Kluyveromyces lactis: one gene and its partners. The protein of the gene in region 5 purifies or fractionates together with the protein of the main gene of each other region. This does not show direct contact. Links are inferred from orthologs where the notes say so. Each region holds a gene or a part of one and is shown on either strand. Other genes may lie near its edges. The genes, in order: UTP6, RRP9, NOP58, NOC4, UTP20, KRE33 and UTP7.

Evidence for each region.
Region 1: the proteins of UTP20 (region 5) and UTP6 purify together in Saccharomyces cerevisiae (affinity purification with mass spectrometry; 3 studies listed by BioGRID). This does not show direct contact. The link is inferred for Kluyveromyces lactis from reciprocal best matches to the Saccharomyces cerevisiae genes UTP20 and UTP6.
Region 2: the proteins of UTP20 (region 5) and RRP9 purify together in Saccharomyces cerevisiae (affinity purification with mass spectrometry; 5 studies listed by BioGRID). This does not show direct contact. The link is inferred for Kluyveromyces lactis from reciprocal best matches to the Saccharomyces cerevisiae genes UTP20 and RRP9.
Region 3: the proteins of UTP20 (region 5) and NOP58 purify together in Saccharomyces cerevisiae (affinity purification with mass spectrometry; 4 studies listed by BioGRID). This does not show direct contact. The link is inferred for Kluyveromyces lactis from reciprocal best matches to the Saccharomyces cerevisiae genes UTP20 and NOP58.
Region 4: the proteins of UTP20 (region 5) and NOC4 purify together in Saccharomyces cerevisiae (affinity purification with mass spectrometry; 8 studies listed by BioGRID, with this or other methods). This does not show direct contact. The link is inferred for Kluyveromyces lactis from reciprocal best matches to the Saccharomyces cerevisiae genes UTP20 and NOC4.
Region 6: the proteins of UTP20 (region 5) and KRE33 purify together in Saccharomyces cerevisiae (affinity purification with mass spectrometry; 3 studies listed by BioGRID). This does not show direct contact. The link is inferred for Kluyveromyces lactis from reciprocal best matches to the Saccharomyces cerevisiae genes UTP20 and KRE33.
Region 7: the proteins of UTP20 (region 5) and UTP7 purify together in Saccharomyces cerevisiae (affinity purification with mass spectrometry; 4 studies listed by BioGRID). This does not show direct contact. The link is inferred for Kluyveromyces lactis from reciprocal best matches to the Saccharomyces cerevisiae genes UTP20 and UTP7.

The regions. Positions count from the first base shown.
Region 1 is NC_006038.1:119,427-122,539, forward strand, and holds UTP6 (snoRNA-binding rRNA-processing protein UTP6), read right to left. Parts: upstream 1,866-3,113; coding exon 501-1,865; downstream 1-500. Other genes in the region: chromatin-binding transcription regulator ADA2, read left to right, coding at 1-407; YML6 (mitochondrial 54S ribosomal protein uL4m), read left to right, coding at 2,438-2,476, 2,645-3,113.
Region 2 is NC_006038.1:970,261-973,921, forward strand, and holds RRP9 (ribosomal RNA-processing protein RRP9), read right to left. Parts: upstream 2,205-3,661; coding exon 501-2,204; downstream 1-500. Other genes in the region: KLLA0_B11055g (uncharacterized protein), read left to right, coding at 1-42; chromatin-binding protein CTF4, read right to left, coding at 2,570-3,661. UniProt on the Saccharomyces cerevisiae protein: Involved in nucleolar processing of pre-18S ribosomal RNA. Required for efficient pre-rRNA cleavage at sites A0, A1 and A2, and biosynthesis of 18S rRNA.
Region 3 is NC_006042.1:801,123-804,540, forward strand, and holds NOP58 (RNA-processing protein NOP58), read right to left. Parts: upstream 2,037-3,418; coding exon 501-2,036; downstream 1-500. Other genes in the region: U4/U6-U5 snRNP complex subunit SNU66, read right to left, coding at 1-141; DGK1 (diacylglycerol kinase), read right to left, coding at 2,710-3,418. UniProt on the Saccharomyces cerevisiae protein: Required for pre-18S rRNA processing. May bind microtubules.
Region 4 is NC_006038.1:952,973-956,184, reverse strand, and holds NOC4 (ribosome biosynthesis protein NOC4), read right to left. Parts: upstream 2,067-3,212; coding exon 501-2,066; downstream 1-500. Other genes in the region: PPT1 (protein serine/threonine phosphatase), read right to left, coding at 1-237. UniProt on the Saccharomyces cerevisiae protein: Involved in nucleolar processing of pre-18S ribosomal RNA and ribosome assembly. Has a role in the nuclear export of 40S pre-ribosomal subunit to the cytoplasm.
Region 5 is NC_006041.1:1,547,840-1,551,818, forward strand, and holds the start of UTP20 (Utp20p), read right to left. Parts: upstream 2,801-3,979; coding exon 1-2,800. Other genes in the region: KLLA0_E17447g (resistance to Congo red protein), read left to right, coding at 3,782-3,979. UniProt on the Saccharomyces cerevisiae protein: Involved in nucleolar processing of pre-18S ribosomal RNA and ribosome assembly.
Region 6 is NC_006042.1:2,272,077-2,276,129, forward strand, and holds the start of KRE33 (ribosome biosynthesis protein KRE33), read right to left. Parts: upstream 2,801-4,053; coding exon 1-2,800. Other genes in the region: transcription factor NDT80, read left to right, coding at 3,660-4,053. UniProt on the Saccharomyces cerevisiae protein: RNA cytidine acetyltransferase with specificity toward both 18S rRNA and tRNAs. Catalyzes the formation of N(4)-acetylcytidine (ac4C) at positions 1280 and 1773 in 18S rRNA.
Region 7 is NC_006039.1:804,121-807,688, reverse strand, and holds UTP7 (Utp7p), read right to left. Parts: upstream 2,178-3,568; coding exon 501-2,177; downstream 1-500. Other genes in the region: proteasome regulatory particle base subunit RPN2, read left to right, coding at 1-312; KLLA0_C09240g (dihydroorotate dehydrogenase 2), read left to right, coding at 2,906-3,568. UniProt on the Saccharomyces cerevisiae protein: Involved in nucleolar processing of pre-18S ribosomal RNA.

The DNA of each region.
Region 1 (3,113 bases), on a different chromosome or scaffold from region 5:
AACGTGATAAACAAGCAAGAATTATGACATTGGAAAGATTTGGAAGTCAAGTGTACTCTTCTTCTTCATCTAGTAACACTGCCCGTTATAGAGCTACTTCGGCCCATAGATCGCAAGCTGATTATGCTCAAAATTATAACGAAGGAAGTGGACGTAAGAAACTAATGACTATCAGTGACATTCAGCATGGGGCAGATTTCCAATTATTATCAGCTGAGGAACAGCAGTTATGCATAACGTTGAAAATTTTGCCAAAGCCTTACATTGCCATCAAAGAGGTACTATTCAGAGAATTAATACGGACTGCAGGTCAACTCTCGAAGAAACAGTGTCGTGATTTATTGAATATCGAGGCAACGAAGGCCAACAGAATCTATGATTTCTTCGTTTCTCAGAATTGGGTTTAATTAGAGTTATAAAACTGTGGAAATATTGGCTCCACTGCTTACCTTACTACTTAATGTCAAATATGTACATAAAAATGTGTATACAGTGTCTCATTACAGTTTCTTGATAATAGCATTCAAAATAGCATACTTCGAATCAGATTTATCCATATTGGATAATAGATGTTGGGTCAAATAACCAGAATATAATGTAGTAAGTTGTTTGGCATTCGTCTCATCTAATTTGCTGATGTATGCAGAATACTTTTTGAAGGACAATTGGAGACTGTCGATGTTTAATTCGCCGGCAGGCATGAATTTGATATTTAATGTAACATCATGCAATAATAATTCCACATATTTTTCTGGCATACTTTTCTCAAGGGAAATATTATAATGTTCGTCCTTTAGCCATTGCAATACGTGATTTATCAGATATTCTCTTTTTAAATCTTGAAATTCCGAAAATAAGTTGATATACTCGAGGCATCTATCAAACAGGTAGGACATAACGTTTCTGCTGAGCTCTTCATCGACTTGCGAATTGGTAACGGCGTAGTATCCTTGATGTTTCTTGACAAAAGATGTGCCCAGATTCTTCATTGCGATATCGAATATAACCAATGCGACATCACCACGTAGTGCTGGATTAGTTTCTTCTGATCCAAGCATATTCATATCGGCTTCTGGTAACTCGTTTAGTTTATCTTTCATCTTGTCACCAGTACTTGGAAGTTGAATTCCGTCTTTGTCAAAGTATGCTTCGTCATCTGCAGTTTCTTCCAGACCTGTTACATTACTGGAGTTTCTTCCTTCCTCTTGCTGTTGTAGCATATCTAGCTCTTGTTCCCTTTCGTTGATTAAATTCATCACTTTTCTTCTATTTAACAATTTTGTCACGAAATTCAGTTCGAATTTAACGTACTCGTACCAGAGTTTAGAAGCATCTGGATTAAATCTAAGACCAGTTTGAAAAACATTTCTACAGCTCTTGAAGTTTGCGTGCAATTCGTATTCATATTTAGCACATGATATCCAAACGTCAACGTTTGTTGGATGTAATTTGAGCAATTGATTGTAGACGTTTTGAATCTTTTTATAAGAGGCATTTGTACCCTTTGATTTTAAATGATTCAAATATAAAGACCAAAATTTCAATTTTTTTGGGAACTTATTGCAGCCTCTTTGGAAAATATAGAGAATCCTCTGCTGTATGGTAAAATCCGAAATACTATTTGATTTGTTCGATTGCAAGATACGTTTAACACGTTTCATTCTTAATGCATCGACATTCTTCTCGTATTCAATATATCTGATGTAATCACTTATACTTGAACCTCTCGAACTCAATCTGTGTTCAAAATCAGTCCTTTTCTTCATAATTTTGTTTACTTCATTCTTAGTGAATAACTTCTTCTGCACTAAGTCATCAACTTCTGGAATACATTGTTCCAAGTAATATCTTGTTCTGGATGACATCGCCTTACTCTGGGTAGTTTTATGTTAAGTATTGATTAAAGTGTAATCACGGAGACTCGTATCGCTCGCTTACTGACAAAGGAAACGACTACTGGCTTTGTTCATGCTAAATAATACTGAGATGAGATGAGATGAGCCTTGAAGCTTTTGAATTTTTTTGGTTATATTGATTTCTTTTTCATATAATCAGTCAGAATAAAGTCCTCCATTTAAATAACCATCGATGAATAACAAAAGGACAAGTACAATTGTTGTTCTGCTAGCGTAAATCGGATTTTTTTTTACTGCAAATTGAATCCGCTTACATATGACATTCGGGACTACCATAAACTGCGACCCTTAATGTCGTTGTATGCTTTCATACAAGATGACAGTTTTGTTGATCGTTAATTCGGGCAATTTAACATTACCCGGATATTTTACATGGTAGACAAATTTTCGATAATCAAAAATCTGAATATGAAATAGGTTGAATACTAAAGATGATTGATTTGTTTGCGGTGATCAGACATAGGAGTGTCCAATTGATCCCCTTTGTATCGAGACATTAAGTCAGTGTATCAGAATCAGCCATGTTTTCCAAGAGACAAGGTTTGAATTTGTGCAAAAACGTATGTCAAACCCATTTTCATCACTGTTGCAATGGTAAAGCGCGGGCTTTCCTCAAACTGCATGATGATATCCTTCCGCATTAAGCAGTTATATCACCTACTTTTAGAAGATCGATTTACTAACTATTGCTCGTAATTTTTTGTTACTCTTTTCCCTATTCTCTACAGGTCCGTTACGTTTCCAACAAACCCCTTCCTAATGCTAGTCTACCGCCAAAATATACCTTAGCAACGGTTCGTTCATTCCCATCATTAGAACCATTGACATTTGCACCAGTGCCAACCTCAGTATTTGATGCTCCATTGAGAAGAGACTTACTATGGCGTGCTGTTGTTTACGAAAATGACAGTAAACGTGTTGGGTCTTCTAACCCCCCAGGCAGAAGTGATGTTGGTTATTCGAGAAGAAAGATTTTACCACAAAAGGGATCTGGTATGGCCAGAGCTGGTGACGCTAATTCACCAATAAGGCATAACGGTGGTAGAGCTCTAGCAAGAACTGCACCAAATGATTATACCACAGCGCTCCCAAAGAAAGTGTACTCTTTAGCATTCAATAACGCACTAAGTCATCAATACAGAAACGGTAACGTCTTCGTCATCGGAAGTGGTGACGGAATCTCCGAAACAAGCCAGG
Region 2 (3,661 bases), on a different chromosome or scaffold from region 5:
TTGATTGGTGCTGCCGCTGGTATTGCTTTGGCCTTCCTATGATTCCTTTACTTTGGGAGTTGTTTGCTTTCTCTTGAGACGATTTGTGTTGTTTATTACTCTTTCGTTCCTTGCTTGTTTACAAGAACATGAGGAACGCTTAATACTTAAAATAAAAAAATCCATTTGACTTTTCCCGATCTTTTCCTTTAATCCTTTGAGCTATTCCTTTGATGTTCCCGCATTTAATTCTCTACGTCGCTGGCTATGTGAATTAAATCTTATCTGTTCTCAAATTCGTTCTCTAACACCTTATTTTATCATGGCTGACAATGAAAGACACTACTCAAAATCATGTCACAATGATTTCTATTAATCCTTTCCTAGTTCTCTACATCATTGATCGGTTAGAGCTCTCTATATATAAATATATACCCTTGTAACAATTACTAATGTATTTCGGCTTTATTAAAGTATTCTTCTTTTTACTATACAGGAGATTTTTCTATTGATAAGATTAACTAGAATCCGGTTTGTTCTATCACAGCAGAAAAGATACCATTTCTTGCACCTGGTACCTTGCTAATCCATCTTCCTAATCTATGTTCTTTACTGACACTTGCTAGAATTCTGAAGGTTTCTCTACCGGTTCTGCCGGATTCTACGGCTTGAATTTTGGTTACCACACCTTTACAGTTAGGTAAGTCTCCTAATAGTTCAAATGCTCTTAAGTTCTCATTGATTTTCCATACCTTCAGGGTTCCATTCCAGGATCCTGAAATGAAAATATCAGAATATGGAACGGCGTATAATGATGTTATCCAAAATGGTTGGGCAATGGATCCACCTTGTAATTGTGCATTGCGTAATTCATCGCTCACTTCCCCAGAGATTTTTTTATCCTCAACTAATGGTACAACACCATGAGCAGTTCTAACGGTGAAAAGAGGTTTCTTTTTGGATAAAGACCATAATGATATATTTCCGTTATCAGAGCCAGTAACGAAATGTGAATCATCTACCATGCTAATACAATCGATACTTCCCTCGCCATAAAAGTGAGGTGGGGTCTGTTCATGCATATCTTCTCCGCCTTCTGCGGACAATTGTTGGTTCTTCAACCATTTTTTCCTCAGTCTTTCAGGATCATCACCACCTCTGAATGTCAATCTGGATTCGTCAGCTATTTTCCACAACATAGCGGTACGATCCCTGGACCCCACTGTCACACAACGCTCCATATTTAGGGCAGAGATATCAATAACCAAATCCTGATGACCGTATAATATTTCCAGTTGAGAAAACTGGTTAATAGCATACGTTCTGATTTTGTAATCGGCACATGCTGCGAATAATTGATCCGAATTCTTCTTGAATGCTAATCCTAAAACCTCACCTCTACGATCTTTGGTTGGAATAATTTTCACAGGGGCTAAAGATTCGGTACTCCATACTATCAGTTTACGGTCACGACCACCACTAACTACGTATTTACCATCAGGAGAAGCTGCCACCGTTAAGATTTCATCGTAATGACCTTCTGTCACATTCTCGTACTCAAATTTACCTTCCGGTATGTATTTTCTACCACCTTTAACATATTTCACTTTTTTTGGTCTAGCTTTGAAATCAGTAACATCATATTTTGTTAATTGCATGTCCTTGCTAACAGTGTAAGCAAATATTTTGTCCTTGCTCTTATTTTGAACATCTTTATGAGAAAACTTGTTAACTGAGGGTTGATAACACGAAATACATGTTAGATTATTTTCGCCTACTCTTGTAAACGTTGTTCTGGATTCACCTATCAAAAGCTTATTTGAAATCCATCTATAGATACGCCCTTGTTGCTCTGCAACATCTTGTTTCAATCTGGAAGCAATGATATCTCTGTCCAAGTCACGAGCATCAAAGTTATTGTAATCCTCTAATTGTGTTTGACGGTCCTGTTCAGTGCTTGCGGTCGCCAGAGAATCGCCAATATCTTCAGCTTCAGCCTTTAAATTCTCTAAATATTGTTTAGCCAATCTTCTTCTCTTATCAGCAGGGTTTTCGCCTTCAAACTCGTCTTCAGATTCCAAGTATTCTGCTACCTCATCGCCATCATTGGATTCATCTTGGACATCACCTTCATCAGAAGAAATATCCGTGATTTCCTCATCTACCTCTTCGACAGAATCCCTATTACGTTTTTTTGAGACATTGCTTGTACTAGATCTAGCCATGGTGTACTTGGTGGCCCTCTGGTTGCTGTCTCGTCTGGTTTAGTTGCAGCTCATCGCCTGTTTCAATGATGTTGGTTCAGATGTACAATTTTTTTTTCAGTATCGCCAATTTGTAAAAGAAACGACACCACTTGAAAAGTGACAAAAATTGAAGAATGCATGAACTTGCAACAGAATTAAATAATAGTTTGGAAGACTTTACTCGATTCAACGACCTATATGCCTGATTTCATTGGTATTGCTAGAATTACTTAGTTTAATTTACATTACGGCAGAAAATGAACGTCAATGCACGGATCGGAAAATCAATTATTATTTAAACTGACAATACTTATTCTAGTCCAGATAAGAAGAACAGGGGATTATCATATATTATTGAAATCGGCCTCAAATTTGGCCTCAATAATCGTGTTGATTTTTCTTACTAGTGGAAGTAGTTCAGCTCTTTCTGCAATTTTTCTTGCAGCAGATAGGGCCTTATCTTGCTTCAGTTCGTTGACGATTGAAACGGCCTTGTTAACATCTTGCTCGGAACAGACATAAGCTAAAAGTCGTAGTAAGGACTTATCATGTGTTGCTACCAGATGCTGTAATAGATCTGTTTCATTTCCGTATATCTCACCTTCATTATCCATCGTGTCTTTTAGTAAATCACTTAGTATCTTGGAGCGTAGAAATTCCTCTTCTGCTGCTAGGTACATTGGAATTTCGACACCATTACTGTTATCAATATCTTCCACATCGCTGCTGTCGTTACGATTATCGTCTTGTGTCTTTTGAAGCTCGGATTTTGATACAACTGGGATTCTGACTTCCATTTCTGTAGGAACGGTCATTGGGATATCTGGCCATGCGTTCTTCCCCTTCAATAATAAATACGAAAATGTATCGAAGTTTAATCCTAATGGCCAAACGTGGACGTTCTTCGGATGCTTACCCCCTGACATCTTCCAAAGTTCTAAATTGGTATCAACTATGGGTACCCATCTCGCGTCACTACCACTTCTCCATTTGGACAGAATTAACAAAACATTATCATGACCAAACATACACGGATCACCAAAGCTTGAGAAGAATAAGGATTTGATACCTAGGGGGTTGAATGAATTGAAAATATCATCGTATTTTAAAAATTCAATGTCTTCATCATCATTTCCCGGCTGATTCTGTTGAGGCAACGTTATTGGTAAGGGAGATTCTCTTTGGAAGTATTTATTGCCAGTTTGCGGATGTTGTTGGAACATCGAGTAAGTAATACCATGATATTGTGAGTAATGAATGGTGAACACTTTGTACTCATGAGCAGACAAAGCAACAATAGGTGACATTTTTTCTATTGCCAGTGGTAACCCAAAATCGTTATAAGTACGAAGATATCCGAGAGATGTTCCTACAATTACACGTTTAGGAGTACAGGCAATTGAAGTAACTCTTTCTTTGGAAAGTAAGGGAATCTT
Region 3 (3,418 bases), on a different chromosome or scaffold from region 5:
TCTTCGTACTTTCCTATTTGTATCAGATGCACCTTCTTTTGATTCTGTTGACGTCTCAGTGGGCCTAGGTATAGTCTTCAAACCTAAACTTGCCCTAATTCGATTTGTTTCTTCCAAAGATATAGAAGTAATCTTACCCATGGCTTTGAAGTAACTGTATGCCTCGTAGAATTCGTATTGTGGTCGAATATCCTTATTATCAAATCCTGTTGCTTTCTTTCTGCCTCATCTCATCGCCAACTTGTCCGAATTTAAGAATTGTATATTTCAACATTTTCATCAGTGAATATTTTGATGTAACTATCAAAGCCATTGACGATGACAATGAGAAGAAGAGTACAGCGTATGACAATAATTCAATTATTATATTTTGTTTGAATTTGATACAGACTAATTTACAGAGGTACACACATAGTATGTTCGTATGTAATGGAACAGATTTATACGAGGTTATTAGAGATTTAATGCAAAAGAGTGGGGTTTTAATGTGAATACTATATCTATTTCTTTTCCTTCTTAGATTTCTTATCCTTTTTTTCTTTCTTTTCCTTCTTTTCCTTCTTTTCCTTCTTGTCTTTCTTCTCCTTCTTAGACTTCTTAGATTCCTTAGACTCTTCATCATCGTCTCTCTTTCTCTTCTTATCCTTCTTATCCTTCTTAGATTTCTTTTCTTCCTTGGTTTCTTCCTCGTCCTCGGATTCATCATCAGAGTCAGCAGGAGCAGCAGCTGAAGACACGGTGTCAGCATCTGCGTTGTATGCTCTAGCCTCTGTGATTTCAGTCTTCTTGTGCTCACGGACGACCTTTGGTGTGGTTCTCAAGTCTCTGCCTTCTAATTGGGACAATCTTGATTCTACCTTAGCTCTGGATTCCAAACCGATGTCACCAGAATCGTCTCTATCTTCAGCCAAAGCATCGTAACGCAAAGAAACGGCAGCCTTAGCAGCCAAAACTCTGGCAATCTTACCCTTGTTCTTACCAGATGCTTGGCCAACCAAGGAAGCGTGGTACAATAGACCATATTTAGGAGTGTCATGCTTAGTTTTCAATGCTCTGAAAAGAGCCTTTTCAGCACCCAAGATTTGGATGGTGGAAGCTGGAGACTTGGCCAAAGAGATTAAAGAACCAGAGTGTGCGATCAATCTAGCACCAACCAATTCACCAACTAATTGAGTCAAATTTGGAGCAATAGCCTTCATTCTTGAAGACAAATAGTTAGAAAGTTGTTCTCTGTAGGCAGCAAATTCAACAATTTGTTCGGCTAAACACTTGATATTAATCAAATCAACTGGGGTAATTTCAGTACCCATGGAGACTTCGGCAGCGGTCTTGACTCTCTCTTCAATTTCTTCAGGCAAAATTTCAGACATGTCAGTTTCAGCAGCATTAACTCTAATACCCATGGTCAAGATTATTCTGGCGTAAGCAACAGAATCAGTAACAATCTTGGCCAATTCTGGGAAATGCCAACCGTACCATTCCTTACATCTCATAGCGTAAGTGTTTAATTCTTTATCTAGATCGTCTAGCAAAGCAATAGCTTGGATGATCATAACATCAACTTTATCAGCAGAGAACTTCAATTTGTGACGACCGATGGAGTGAGCCAAACCCAATGACATCTTGGAAAGATCTTGATCGTTCAAACCTGGCAAAAGTTCTGGCAAGTACTCCTTGACTGCACGGTAAATATCTAAGGTGACGGCATCAGAGACAACGTTGAAGTTCAAACCCAACTTGTTGATAGCGTTTGCCAATTTAGTTTCAGAAACAACTAAGGTGGCCTTTTTGTCGGTCTTGCATTCTTCCAACAGTTTTTCCAATTGGGAAGAGACTTTACCATCAATCACAGAGTTAGCTTCTTCCAAAGCATTTGCAGCTGATGAAAATTTAGAGAAAGCAGCAATCTTGAATTGGTTCAAGACCTTGTCACTGCTGTTCAAATCCTGAATCAAAGAAGAGGACTTATAGATCTTCTTGTCAGATGCTTTCAAAAGAGCATACCCAGCTGAGGTTTCTGTCAAGACGTAGGCCATCGCTAAAAAGTCTTTTATGTGTATGTTGCTAGATGATCCTAATTATTCAACGGGTTCTTTGAGATATCGTAGATATGATGGATGTGCTTAATTCTTCAATCGAAACGTTAATACCATTCTGTAGTTCAATACTGATGAGATGAGCTTGTCGAAAATTTTTCAATGTTAGTTAAATTTCAAAAAGAAATGAAAAGAAAACACATCTGGACACCACATATATAAATCACGTGTTATAAAGGGACCAGATAAAGAACTGCACTGTTTGTTCTTCATATATCGAGACCAAGCACATTCCAATGGCCAATACGGTTCACAAAAGCATCAAACTAGACGTTGTATATTAAACAATATTTGCTGGTAGTTTTTAATTTATTCAAGTCTATACATAAGGTGAGATGTAGAATATATGTGCCAAATCAATTGACTTGTATACAAAAAATGTAGGTGTGAAATGTGATCATTAACTGTCATTTCCTCCCGTCTATCTTAAGTTCTCCGGTTATAGTCAAATATTCAAAGGGATTGAATTTCATATGCGATCATTGAAAGTGGTACATCATCAGTGAGGAAGGTTTTGATAAAAGCCTGCTCAGTGTAAAGGTAAGAGGAGGGAACACGAAAAGTAAAATACAAACTAGGTAATGGTAAATGGTGCCTCTACGCACCGCTCTCCTCAATTCTTGAAAATGCGGATGACAGCTGTCATGAAAATGGCGGATAGAACTGGAATAGTGAAGTTATCATCCCAGTTAAACAAGTCGATACCTTCACTCAAAGCTGCGACAAAACCACCTAATAGCGAAAGTTGTAGTAGGTTTAGTTTGCTTGTCTCTTCGGTCCAGGAGATTTCACCTGGTTTGTTCACCCAGTTATAATGAGGCACAAAGAATCCGTAAAATGAGTAACAAGTTATGAGACCAACGGAAAAGGCTGCAATGGAACCTGCTAAAGACTTATTTCTGGCCAATTTTGGTGTAAGGTGTCCGTACTTTCTACCGAAAGTAGACGCAGCGGTATCTGACCAACTTAGTAAGAACAGTGAGATTAACGCGATATCTTTACTAAAAAAGGAGAACGCAAAAGTCAGGCCCAATAAGTACCATAGGACTCCATTATACGTATGAATTTCTTTTTTCCTCATCAATGCCCCAACACAACGACAATACATTTTATTGAAGAATGGAGAACGTAGACGAATGAAGTCTAAAATAAATACGACAGTAAATCCTACTATCAATGGAAATTTCACTTTCTTGTAATCAACATTTTGAGTGTAAAGATATAGGGTAATAAAACCAATAGATGAATGGAATAGTTTCCGTGGTATTTCGTGTTTTGTAATGAAATCACCAAACCATTCATGTGACTTTAAATGAATTTCT
Region 4 (3,212 bases), on a different chromosome or scaffold from region 5:
GTTATTATCCAATTCAATTGCACGTTTAGCATCGTCTAAAGAACTTTGGAAGTTATCCAACTTTAGGTTGGTGAACGCACGGTTTGAATATAGGATCGTATTCTCGGGATCATGCTCGATGGCTTTTGTATAATACTCAGCTGCCTTTGCGTACAGTTTCTCCTTCACGAACTTGTTACCTTCATTCTTCAGCTCTAAGGCTTTCTCTGGATTACAGGCTTTCACTTCCTCAGTCATTTATTCAATAGTAGTGGTAAAAAAGCAGCCAACTGGTATGGTATGTGCCTTTAAGTCCTCAAGACCGATAAACGGAGCCCATTTTAAAGTTTTTTCTGATGTGAGTCTTTCTCTTCTTGATGTTGACTTGTTGATTTTTTTCATCTCGATGTTTCAATATTACGGCGATGTGATGAGATGTAATGTGAAGAGATTTGCGAAAGTGAAAGAAAGTACTCAATTTGGAATTGAACTACTTAAGTTTTCTACTTGAAATTATGTATTTACCATTTTATGAAGGGTAGGAATGCTGAATCAGAACCTGATTCGAAAATTGTTTCAAACCTTTCGAATTCAAGAGCAGGTTGGATCTTCAGCTTTCTATTGGTTTCTGCTTGCAAAAGTGAATCGTAAGACCAATCTAAGAAATCTTCGATGTTGTAGCTTAACTTTTGGAAAGGTTGTTGGAAAATCTTCGCTAAAGTGGCTACGTTTGGATGGTAGTGATTCATTAGCGTTTCTAGCTCCCATACTGAGGAGGAAAGAGCATTTGTAAGTTCTGGATTGGTTTCTTCATTGTTGAATGGATCTAGATATTCTTGCCTTTTCTTTGAATCGCAGTCGATGTATTCTGGATCGTGTAATAGAATCATACATGTAGGATGCTTTCTGATTAGATTGTACACGAATGGTATTATAGAAACAATAGCACCTGGTGGTGCCGATACGGATAAACGTGCCAAACGTTTGATGAATGACGCTACCAGTTGTGCGGATAAATGTGTAGAAGATAGAAAGGTGTCCACTAATCTGAAAAATCTTGATCTGTACTTAACGTGCATTACTTCTGGAGTTAGAAGCTGATATAGTTTTGAGTAGAAATTTGGATATTCTAGGTTGTATTTTTTCATAAGTTCAAACAAACCATTTAATGAAAGGATTGAAACGATACCACCTTGGTTGTAAGAGTCGGTAAGGAAATCCATAAGCTTTGTTGGTTGATGGAACCATACTATAATTCTCTTGTGTAGCACTAAAAGCACAGTTTTATATTGGCTACTGGATAAGTTGGCTAAATTTAGACAGTGCAACCAATTTGTTTCGAGGTTGGATTTAAACTTAGCATCATTCTCGATGGCTTGTGGGGGCACAGATACGAATATTTCCAAGTCTGGTGATCCCTGAACATCGTTGTTGCATAAAGCCAACCATTTAGACATCAAAATTTCGTCAGATGTTTGGCCATCAAGTTCTGGTAACAACGATATCAGTTCTGATTGTGTGTAGAATTGAATATCGAAATTCTTCTTATAATAGGCTTCCACAAATAGATTAAACACGGGATTCTCGCTCTGACCATCTTTGAAACCGATATCACCTTCAAAGTTACAATGGAAAAGAGCCACTAGTAACGATCTTAAAGTCTTATTTGGAAAGAAAGGACTATTTGGTTTCGAAGCCCAATATATCGATTCATGGTGAAGCATTTTCATATATGAGTCCAAACAATCTAAACTCAACGAGTTAACTTCATGCAAAGATGTAATGATAGCCAATAACTTAACCTTATAATTTAAATATAGTTTCTTACACCATTCAAAGAATTTCTTTTCATTGGCATTGGATGCAAGATGAGGCATCAATTGACCACGCTCAAAAAGTTTGATGAAAATCTGACTCAAAGCAATGGTCATATAACGGTAATCATCTTCCAAATTGTGCAACAATTCGTTTTCCTTTAGAAGTTCATTGTACCCATGGATTAGGTTCACCAACGAGTTGTAATGTTTTCTATCATTGCCGGTGCTAATAGACTTCCAAACTTGCTTAATCTCTTCCTTCGAGAGCATCTTGGTTAATCGCTGTCTGAATCCTTGGGAAACTTTTATATGTGAATTCCAATTATTTATTGCGAGTAATCAAACAGATTATAACGGTGAGAATATCCTACCTTAACGTTTCCTATTCGACTTCATCTCATCTCATCTCATCTCATCTCATCTCTTGATTCCAAATTTTTCAGAGATTCTTGCAATGTAGAAGACAATTGAAAAGAAATTATTCTTATCACGTGATCGCATTTCCTAATAAACTAGCTATCAATGGCGACATTAAATATATAATTTAGAGTGGTAAACCATTCTGTTGTCAGTCAAGTCTTGCCTGCATCACCTTGAATACGCACACTGATGCTCGTTCCTTCAGGGGGTGCGTATCCTCCAGTTCACGGCAGCCTATGAGCCCTAACAGCATACAAATTTCAACGATTAGTATAAAATGATCTAGCCCGAATTTCATCATATATAAGAGAAAGATTTATGAACCAAGAAATTACAAGACACAATTGGTGATGTAGAAGAGATGTAACTTTGATAGGCTTTACTTGTATTACTCTTTTTGGGCTTAAATCCACATGACCTTCCAAGTTTTAAAAGAAGACGATGATACTATTTGCGCTTTTTTAATTCTTACAATTCTTTCGTGGATGGGAATTATTTTCTGTTCATGGTTTTAATGGAGAATGTGGTGCCCTCGCAAGCCTTATAATCTTGTTACATTCTTTGAATGATTTGGGACACTTTTTATAAAATTCTGATTCTTTTTGGGAAGGTCATCCCATGTATAGACTTGATGTGAGTTTGTGTGTTTGAGTCTTGCTTCTTGCTAATATGAATCGCCTTGTGCGATTCATTTCAAAAACTAAACTAACTGTAAACGTAAACGTAAATATTAGATAGAAAAAAATGCCGTGATACGATGGTATCGTGAATATGACAAGTCGGAGCGGGAACAAATGAATCAACTATGAATCAGAGTTAGAATCTGGCACCAATTTTCATTTTCACTTCGTTACTTTTCGTTTCTCTGCTGCTTTGTCATATTCTTTTGATATGCAATTGATACTGAGTCATTTTCAATATCTCGAAAGAAAAAAGAATACGGCGATTCAAGCTCTGGTGAAAAATTTTGGAAAAAGTATAAAGAATTGATGCTCA
Region 5 (3,979 bases):
AGAGAATTCTCACAATATAACCCATAACAGCTTCTTCATCTTGCTTTTGGATAGTTTTGGTGTCATCGGTTGCTAAAAACTTGGTAATTTCATCTTTAAATAAAGTGTCATCCAATAAGTTCTTCAAGTTTTCTCTGTACTTGGTTATATGAGATTCCTTGTAACAAAACAACGCATCTAAAGCTAATTTTTGAACTTCTGTAGTTCTGCTGCTCAAAAGTGCCATTAACCTATCGTGCACTTCCTCTGATTTGTAAATGGATTTGATATTTTTGAATTTGCCAACGAGCTTTAATAAAAGGTTTCTATCACTTTCAGTCCATTGTGATGCTGTTGGAATTAGTACATCCATACTTGGTTGATCTTCTGTGATAAAAATTTCTTCAGATTCTTCTTCATTAAATAAAAAAGGAACTATGTCCCTTGAATGACGCTCTGCCAAACTAGGAATCGACAATAAAACTTTGAATATCTGACTTCTAATCAATGATGGATATACCATAGAATTCCTTCTTTCCTCCAAAACATCCAATATAGTTGAATCGCTAGCAGAGTATTTTTTAAATACTTTGTCAGAAGCAAGGATGGAGTCATTCATTCTATTGATACTAACGGTCCAGAATGGTTCTTGAAGGTCAATGTTATTGGAAATGCTATAATATTTGACGTCCTTTGTTTCATCAAGAACAGTGAGGAAACGCATAGCCAAACTCCACACAAGGGATTGGTTTTTGGTGTAAACTTCTGGAATTATTTCATAGATAGCTTCCCAAATTGGAGAGAATCTGACAGTTAGAAGCCCAAACATATGTTTGAAAAAGACATTAGTCAATAAATCCTCAGCTTCCATCTTGGCAAAGTCTGCACCTAGTTTCCTTACTCTGAGAGTAATGTCACGGCTTGTATGAAGATCCAGAGGGATTTCTTCCAAAATCCTTAGATCATAAAATAATTGGGGAACTGAGTTGCCTTGCTTTTCTAGAACAGATATTATAAACTTAAGGGTTTCGTAACGGATGGTTTTGTCCGGAAGTAATAGATTATCTGTTAATATGGGTAAAATCTTTGATAAAGATTTCAAAATATCAGTGTCGTCCTCCAAATATGATAAAACATGTGAAATACCTTCAATAAAATATCTACTGTTCTGTAGCTCTATAATTCTCGGAACTAGAATATTCAATAATTTTGCAGCCATGACCGACTCAGATGAAGTGATTTTAAATGTTAATGCTTGAAGTAGGAAACCAACAAAATCCTTTTCAAAATCCGATAACACATCCTTTTGGAAAACCCTCTCTAGCAAATGCATAATGATTTCCTCATCCTCTTGTTTCAATGTCTTTAATATTATAAGTTTCCAATACACAGAAAAAATTTCCTGTTCATCGTTTACATTAGCATCGCTGATATCCTTCAACAACTGGGTTGCGAATTCCGGTGCAGAGAGATGATTTACCAAGTCCAAATCTTGTGAAGATTCCGATTCTAAAAGGAACAATGCAATCTTCTGAGCACCATCTGCCCAGCAGTTATTAACGTATTTCTGCAAGTATTTCAACCCGTTGAAAGAAAGCACTTTACCCTTATCGATATCCATAGAAATCTTGAAGAATTCAATGAAATGAGCTGAGAATTTCGTCAAGTAGAGTTCGAACATGTATTTATGCAGAGAAGTTAGCGTTTTAACGTCAGCATTACGTAAGACGATGGCAAATGTAAACGACACTAGATCTGCATGTGATTCATTTAGACTATCATGTTGAGTGGCTTTACGTAGAACACCAGATAACTTTTCCCAACTTGGTACTTTTCTACCACTCTCGGCAAACGATAGCGTAGATAACATTCTCAACGTTTTACCAACAGCAGCACTAGATCCGTTCAAATTCTCGTCCAAGAATTCAAGGATCAAATCGTATAAACTCTGAATATTCTCCGCAGAAGTGTGTCTAGTGATATCTAGAATGATGTCACAAAGTAAAGAGACACATACTATGTCTGAATTTTTCTCGAATGCGATTTGCAGAAGAGTTTGGAATATTATATTTGATCTTGAATGCAATGCCTCGGAAGTACTCTTCAATGATTCACCAAATAAAGTTTGCAAACCGTCATAAAAATTATCATTCTTTAACAAGCACAATTTTTGGAACGAAAATGTGACAAAAGTGGCCAAATGTTTCTGTGGAGATTTCCTTATTAGAAACGATAGAGCCTCAGCGGAGAATCTGGAGAGGTATTCTTTCTTATGTGACAATAACGGAAATAAGAGGTCGAAAGTGGGCGTCAAATTCTGAGTCAAACTACGTGACAAATACTTGAAAATGTATGCCAAACAATTGAACCCCCATTCGAACACGTTTGAGTTTTCAAATTCAGTGGCAGCTTCCAATAAGTTAATCAAACATGTAACCGCCCTTTCATAAAATTTCATGAAATCAGGTCCCAAATCATGACAGAACTGAGCCAAGAGATCACACAACGGCTGTAAAGATCTCTCATCGTGTTTATCTATATATTGCTCCAAATTCGCAAAGATTTCATCCTCATGGTACAAAAGTTGAGGCAAAGTTTGAACCAATTTCTCTACCGAATCCATAAAGGATCCGAAATTCCCACTCAAATTGATATCCTTCCAGTGTTCAAAAGAGGATAGAAAATGGGAGGTCTCTACATCATCATGAACCCTTCTATCCAAATTTCTAGCAGGTTCAATCTTCAAATCATCAATCTTATCCTTGAAAGATGAGTATCTATACCTCTTGGTAGATTTCGTTGTAGTCTTTTGCTTACCCATGGTTGATTATTTTAAAATGGGAAACAGAACAAGACTAGTCCTCAATGTTATATCAATGTACTGAAGCAGGTCTTGTATGACTGGTGATTGACAGTTACTGTGTGTAGACCCTCTTGTGTTTGTTGTTTATGCGATGAGATGAGATGAGATGAGTTTTCATGCTTTTCCAAATTCTGAAAATTTTCCCTTTACCTAGAATGGAACGTGAAGAAATCCAGTTTCTTTTTACGCAGGGCCGATCTGGAGGACGACTACGGCCACAGGACTGACCGCCAGCACTGATCATTTATGAGGTGTTTTTAACGGGCCAGGAAGGTACGATAGTTGTGGGAGTACTAATAGTAGAACCGCTACAATATATAAGTTGAGAGTATCCAACCTAGAATCGCGAGGTAATGATAGAACTTCAACTAATAAGAAACTCCATCGTCTCATTATACAAAAATTGGTAAACATTATGTAGCGCAGAAGTAGTGCTGATTTTGGAACTCAACTTGGTTATATTTGAGGCTCTGCAACATTTTCTGGACATTCGTGGTAAAATAGGTATATCCTTTCTCTTAAATTTCCAGTATTTCTCTCCATCGGTCTCTTGATATATTATATATACTGATATATATTTGCATATGGGGAATAGTCGTTTTTAAATGAAATTTGTCATGATTCGCGATCAGATTTCCTCGCTACTCTTGCTGCAACAAGGATATGCCAGCAGGACTCCAGAGGGCAGTCGATAGGAGTTTGAAATCCAACCTGCACACGAAGCTATCGCTGAAAGGAGGATTTCCCACTGGATTTTTTGTTACAAGTCGCTTCTCGTCCCCTTTTTTGTCTGTTGATATACAAGACCTTCGATCAAAAGGATCGGAAAACAAAGAGGGCTAACCCAACACCAAGAGCAGGACTCCTGAACTTACTAATTGAATAAACAAGGGAAGTATATCTTTTCCGGGTTCTAATATTGCTCTTACTTCGCCTGCTATGTCAACCACAACTACATCTACGCCATCCAGTGTTGTCAGCGCTGTTCAAAGTGCTACCACTACATCTGCTGATATTGATAACAACTGCTGGGGTCTCTCGTGTTCCTCCCACTGGGAATGGGCACGGTGGGTAATATTCGTTATATTCATGTTCATCTTACTGGCATTTGTCATCACTACGATAAGAATAAACTAT
Region 6 (4,053 bases), on a different chromosome or scaffold from region 5:
CAATAGACTCGCTTAAAACTTCCCTGAAGAAATTGGTGAATTTCCTGATAATCTTGGAGAACATGGCAATAGTTTGATTGGATGGTAAGTTCAACTCTTTCGTTATGTCATCAATGCCCTTGTGTTGCAAACCAATTGCAAGTAGTATACACGATTGTACGCTTGATAATGATACACCGTCACCCAGCTTTCCACTAAAGTATAGCAATGCCATCATTGGTAGAAGATCAACAATGACATGATAATCCAGTAAGTTGTTAGCATAGCTTTCTAACCTCTTTAGATCGAATGGAGAAAAGATGGAATCCAATTGGTCCCTTGTTAAAACCTTATTCTGGAACGATCTGCCCTCCGAGTCTTGGTCTAGTGTTTCACCCTTCTTAGCAGATTCAATGACATTTAACGCTTCGATGGCAGTGAATTTCTTAAAGTCGAACGATAATAAAGACAAGAATCTTTTATGGAAATCTTTGGCAAATTCTGCCAGCCATTTTGATTCACGACCTTCAAGAACTTTAACCATAACACATGTATGTTCACCAGTCAAATCATTCGCTGTTTGACGTAAGTAAACTGGGACAAATCCGTTGTTTTTCCAGAACTTATGTAAAGATTTTGTTAAACCATATGAAACACCTAAGTAATGCAAAAAGTGAGGGGTTTGTTCTGAGAGTTTCAGAAGCAATGGTGGCAACGTCTTTGCATCCCTTAATTTGATTTCATCTTTCAAGAGGTCTGCTTTCTTCAAATCCCTGTCATCGACTCTCTTGATTGTGTAGTCCTTTTGTACCGTATCTTCATTCAAATCGGTGAATTTACCTTCGAAATGATCTTTCAATAACTCCAGAGCCCTAGACCCATAACCCATAGAGGCGTATTCCGGATTGGTTGCAATCCTAACAACACGGGCACCACTCAAACCGGCAAATTCTTCATCTTGAAATTGCTGTGAGATTAGCCATGGAATTAAGTCACCACCAGCTCTTTGACCTCTTGCCAAAGAATTTCTGACAGAATCCTTCGAGATCTCACCTTCCAATGCGACCTGGATGACCACTAAGGGATCAGGTATTCTGCCGCCATCTTTTGGATCGATGGGAGGCAATAAAACGAATAGTTGATGAGCAGGTGCATCACTCATTAATTGCAAGTCGTTAGGAGAATTCTTGTAATGCGATGCGACATAAAGAGCCATCATCTTCTCCAGAAAATTTTCAGAAACAGGATGATAAGAAAATAGAGTATCTCTATTGACGATGAATAAATTACATTGAGATGGATGAGGTGTGCCTCTAGCAGCAAATCTTGGATTTTTGATTAGTTGAACGTCCAAACAAAGTAATTTATTCAACCATTTTTCAACTGGGTCACCAGGAGCGTATCTGATAGGTTCATCTAAGACAACTTCTCTCAAAGAACGGCCACTTGTTTGAACTTCTTGTTTCTTTGAATCTCTGGAAACAAGTGCTGTTTCGGAATCTTCACGGCCAGTACCGTTGGATTGAGTTCTTAGCTGTTGAATCAATTTCAAAGACAAAGATCTACCGGTACCTTCATAACCGTTAATAGTGGATGCCATAAACACTAAGTACGGACCCAAAAGCTTCTTTACAAGTGGTAGTGGAATTGCGGCAGCTTCATCAATGACAACAAGTTCTGCCTGTCCCAACACATGAGAATCATTTGGAATAATATATTGAATGGTCTGTCTATGTTCTCTCTTGATGTCTACTCTGACTATGGCTTTGTTGAAGCTTGGATTGGTGGACTGAATGATATCATAATCAATGTGCTCCTGATAGCCTAGAGCGTCAAATCCTTTGAAAATAAACTCAAATAAAGTCTTCAAATTCTCAGGGGAAGGAGATGTTACAAAGATATTGGAGTAACCATGGGATACAGCAGCAGCAATAGAAATACCTAGAGCAGCTGATTTACCTCTACCTCTACCTGCCGTCAATGCTACAGTTGAATTTAAAGTTTTCTCTGAAATGGCATCAATGAAGGTCAAGATTGCATGAGCTTGATTAACCGTTTTTGAAAGAGCAACTAATGATCCCGCAGGCTGAACATCTTCTAAAGACACTTTCAATTCTTTTAGTTCTTGATTTTTTGGTGAAATTTCTTCATCATCCTTTGGTGGAAGTGGTTTTACGTTTTTTCCTCCAGATATAGGTAAAACGTTTAACTCACTATCTACTACCAAACAGTTTTCATTCGAACCCAAGGACAAGATAAATCTTTCGTTGAATCTTGCCACGACATCGTCATGAGCTTCCGTTCTATAACGAGAGTGGATATCCATAGTCATAGTGTATAACTGTTTTAGAGAGGAAATGGACTTTAACATGATAACAATGATACCACCACCTTCAACGGTTTCGATGGTTCTTGCTAGCAAATTTGGAGTCAAAGCTTCAAAATCTTGTAGGATACACATACCATAAGTGTTACCCAAAATTTTTTCAGTTTCCTTATAATAACAGTATCGAATGTTTTGGTTAGAGATGAAAGTTTCAAAAGGATCTTGTTCATTTATCTCTCTGGTACCTCTCTTGATCTCTTTCTTAATCTTTGCTTCTCTCTTCTTCCTGTGTGAAGTGAAACCCAAGAGTTTCTTCTTATACGTCCATAACACGGATTTATTCATTTTGAGGTCAGCACTCATCATTAAATAGTGCAAGTTCGGTAGCTGGTTACGAGCATTGTCACCAACGATAACGAAAAATGATCTCTGATTTGTTTGAACACCATTTCTGATGAGAGCTGGGATACGAGAATCAATAGCTTTTTTACCCATCGTAATCTAACTTCTGGTTTAAAGTTTTAAGAACACACTCTTTAACAACAAACAATGACAGTTACGTTTCGCTGGAAGTTCGACCGTTGGGAAGAGTTAGTGTTTTTAATGATTTTTTTTGTAGTAACGAAGTACAGTAATCAGGTATTTTGGGGAGAAATAAACGTCTCGTAATACTCAGATAGCTTCTCAGCAAACCACCTCATCTCATTTGATCTCATCTCATCTCGAAATAAAATTCCTACCTAATACGATGAAATAGTAAAAAGACAATGAAAAAAAAAAAAAAAAATTAGGCAGAGAAAAGAAAAGATACTACTTACCCGGAATTATTTGATGAAAATATACTGTTACCCGCATGAATTTCATGCGCAGTGTAATTTCGGCGGCTAATTTCAAGAAATGACTACGTGTGCATAATGCACCATTATGTGATGTCGACTAATATTTTAAATTCATATTTAAACTTCAGTAGTAGTTTTCATGGGTATTAATTAAAGTTTTCTTCATGACTGACGAAAAGGGAAAAACTAACATTATATAAATACCAGTATTTTTGTGTCACAAGGAATAAGGGCAATATTCTTATGAAATAGATCCGATGAATAAGATAAGAGGTTAAGAACTGACATCAGAACGAGGTTCGATTATAAGGTTGTTTCTTTACCTGAACAAGCGCAGTTGTGGTTATCTCTTATACGGAACGTACGATTCCTAGGTTTTATTTTGGTTTTATTTTTTCGTGGTCATTCAGGTAAGCTCGGCGGTTATTCCATAGCAATAGCCAGGAGGAGAGTGAGAGCTAACTATATTTTCTTTTAATAGGAACAGAGTATAGTTTTATGTGATCAAACTTGCTATGATGGAGGATTTGGACCATCTGAACGATGAGAATATCAATATAGATGAGAACGAATTTTTGGAAACACTTGATAATGCTGACGGGGACGTGATCAAAACTTTTAGGAACGCTGACGGGTCATTAAGTAGTCATTTTGACAAGAGAAAAGTTCGTATTGCTCCAAGGTCAACATTGCAGTTCAAAATAGGCCCAGGCTTTACGCCAGTGGTGCCCAATCACAAGATATTGAACGATTTTGGACAGATTCAAGAAATCAAATTGGAGCCTCGGATTGATCGAGGGTTTGATTTCATAGATGACGATTGGATTGGTTATAAAAGAAATTATTTCACCGTGGTAACTTCATTTGACACACCGGGGACTGATCATATCGAGTTCATGAAACAAGCGT
Region 7 (3,568 bases), on a different chromosome or scaffold from region 5:
GAGGTGGAACTGGAGGAAAAAAAGAAGGAAGAGGCCAAGAATACTGAAGAAGCTAAGATCAAATACACGACAACGAGCTATGATGTTGAAAACCTCACCCGTGTGCTTCCGCAGCAACTCAAATTCATATCTTTTGCGAAAGATAGCCGTTTTGTACCTGTTCGCAAATTCAGAGGAAACTCAGGTGTCATTATCGTTGAGGATAAGACACCTGAAGAACCACTAGAATTAATCAAGACCGTAAGACAAACAAAAGATATATATGCCCCATTACCATCTTCATTTAAAGTCGAGGATTCTCTTGAATTTTAATCGAGAAATTAGGTCCTAGCAATAGCGGTCATCCTTCATAATGTACAGTAAATAATCACCTCAAACTAAGTCGTATCTATATGCAAATAATTCAAACATGTTTTTGCAACAGTCGATACTAAGCCGGCTATAATAACAGATTATATAAGTGTTCATGTAAGTATACATATTGATAACTACTTGATGATTCAAGAAAATCTTGATAAGGCTTCATCAACAAGGTCTTTGTGATCATCAGCAAGTTCACCCTTCTTAATTTTTTCTTTTCTTTGGCGGCTAGACTTTTCCTTCTCTAGTTGTCTTTGTACCCTTAACTTCCTTTCATCCACAACATTACGAGTTTTCTTTCGTAGGAACGCACGTAATCCGGAGTTCTTACCTTTAACATCAGGTCTGGCATCAGGAATGTCTTTGTTTAGTTTGGATTTTTCTTGCTCTGCATTCGAGATAATTGCAAGATCCTTTGCATTTAATCTGACTTGAGAAGCACGAGAATCTACTGTACCTATTGTGTTTGGATTTAATGTTATAGAATCAGCAGGTAACTTATTCAATAATGATCTCACTTCTTGTTCCTGTCTCTGTTTGCTTGTTTCGTATGGGTTGGCCTCTAGTGCGTCGTAGTTGGCTTCCCCTGCGCCTGGAATAATCAAATTGGTTATACCCTTTTGATGTCCAACACCTAGCAAATCTTCGAATGGCGCAAACTGGAAGTTCTCTATTTTATTTCCAGCGAATAAATGAGACATATACGGAGTATTTCTATCTTTGTAACCGCTAGAGGTGAAATACGGTCTAGCAGCTTTCCCACTTTTCAACGTATCTTTCCAAATTGTTACATGAGGCCCTCTTGATACTGCAAGTAGACCTGTATCTGAAATTGCAACGTTAGTACCGGGCGTAGGCATGTTCTCAATACTATGTACTTCTTTAAAGTTTCTGATATCCCAAATCTTTAAAGATTTATCGGAACCAGTGGTGGCCATATAATAACCTTGTCTATCTACAGCAATTCCTGTTATTGATCCTCTAGATGATAATAGTCTTACCAGTGGTGATGGCATTGATGGTGACCATAGAGTGACTGTGCCGTTGCTATGTCCCAAATGCATTACTGCATTCCAAGGGTTCTGAGCCATCGCTGTAGTAGGACCTAGTTTAGTTCTGATCTCTGATACTAGTTGACCTGTCGAAACATCTTGATATTTCAAAAAACCTGTTTGTCCTGCTGTTGCCAAGAGATAATGATATGGTAAATATTCTAAATGTTTGACCTCTATGTGCTGCTTTAAACGATGCAGCTCTACACCTTCATGATCGTAAATGAACGTGTATTTTTTTTGTGCTACTGCAAAGAACTGTTCATTTTGCAAATATGTTGCTGCTTGCACTGTCTCCCCGAGATTTAGCTCACCACGAAGTTCACCTTTCCTCCAATCAAGAGATGCTACATGGCCCTTCCGACCTGCAATAAGCATATGCGTACCATTTCTGGAATAATTTACACGGTACGGACCAAAATCGTTTAATTTCAAGTCCAATGCCTTATTGGCCATGGAGGCGTCAACATGGTGTTTGATTTCAGCCTGTGTGAACTTGAACGTCTTTTCCATCTCATCTTCTGCTTCTAAATAACCATGCTCTTCGGGTAAAAGATATTCTGTAGCAGCAGTAGAGAGTACCGCTTCCTTATACTTCTGATCAATACGCTTCAATCCTGCCTTTAACTTCTTATCCTTGGTTTTCTTCTGCATCTTGTGAGACCCGTTGGCATCATCATCGTTATTCGATCTCTCAAATTTGTCCTGATTGTCTCTCCGTTGTAGGTCACTATACTGTGACTTACTACCTTTCTTAGCAACCATTATTGAATATTGATTCGGCTTCTCGTGAAGTGATACCTGATATCAGAAGATGTAGCAGTAAACTTGCAGAACCTTATATTGTGAAGCTCATCTCATCTCATCGTTTCTTAAAATTTTCGATATTGGATACTCGAGAAAAAAAGAAAAAATCCTTAAGTTGAGCTGAAGAATGATAGACATTACCAAGTAAGAATTGTATATGACTGATAAATAGATCAATCGGCGCATAGTACATGCCCAAAACGTGGGGAAATTCAGTTATAAATACCAAACCCAATGAGTCCAAACGATTTCTAACCAAAATAGCAATCATTTCTTCTTGAAAGAGTAGTTAAGAGTAGTTCCCTGAGTATTTTTCACTTGATCTGCATCCTGTAGTACCGGTGTAAAGTAGTATACTACCTTCTATGCATCTAGACATATGATAGGTATCTAAAAGAAATTAAATCAAAGTACAAATTAATATGCAATGGTGACCTCTGAGCTAATTGCACCAGGCATCTGCTAGTCACATACTTTTGTTCCTCACAGATGTGTTTCCGGAAAACACTCCGTCGAGTCTTAACTGAAAAATGAAATGAAAATGAAGAACTTGAACTAATGTTTTGGTCCTCCCGCAATGAATAGAGAGCTAGATCGTGTATCGTTGTTCTTTTCTCTTGTTATACAAGATTGGAATAGGCAAGTAGAGGTCACTCCGAATACCGCGTATTTTGCTTTTATCAACTATGAATAGTGGGTTCCCACGTATTTTGAGCAAGAAACTTTTTACGCTAAATCAATCGCAGTTCTTTGTCAAGAATGGCATGGTCCCATTGAAAGCAGGCATTTCTGGCCCTAAGCTTTTGAAGTACACTGTTGGGATAGCCATTGGTTCATTTGCGGGATTCTATTTCTCCAATTCGAGGTCTGCTTTCCATGAGTACGTCTTGTGCCCGATGTTGAGACTTGTAACGCCAGATGCTGAAGATGGGCATAAATTAGGTATCTGGTTCTTGAAGAATGGGTTGGCTCCAAGATTATGGTTCGATAACGATGATAAGGTATTGAATGTGAACATTTTTGGTAAGAAATTGACCAATCCAATTGGTTGTGCTGCCGGTTTGGATAAAAATGGTGATGCCATCGACGGTATACTTTCCGGAGGATTCGGTTATATAGAGATTGGTTCTGTGACTCCATTACCACAACCAGGAAACCCAAGACCTAGATTCTTTAGATTACCTTTGGATGATGCTGTTATCAACAGATACGGTTTCAATTCATCCGGCCATGACACCGTTGTCAACACATTACAATCCCGTATTACCAGTTTCATCAACAGTTACATGTTTAAGGACAATTCCGTTGAAAACTTGTCCTTATACAAAGACAAATTGTTGGGGGTCAAT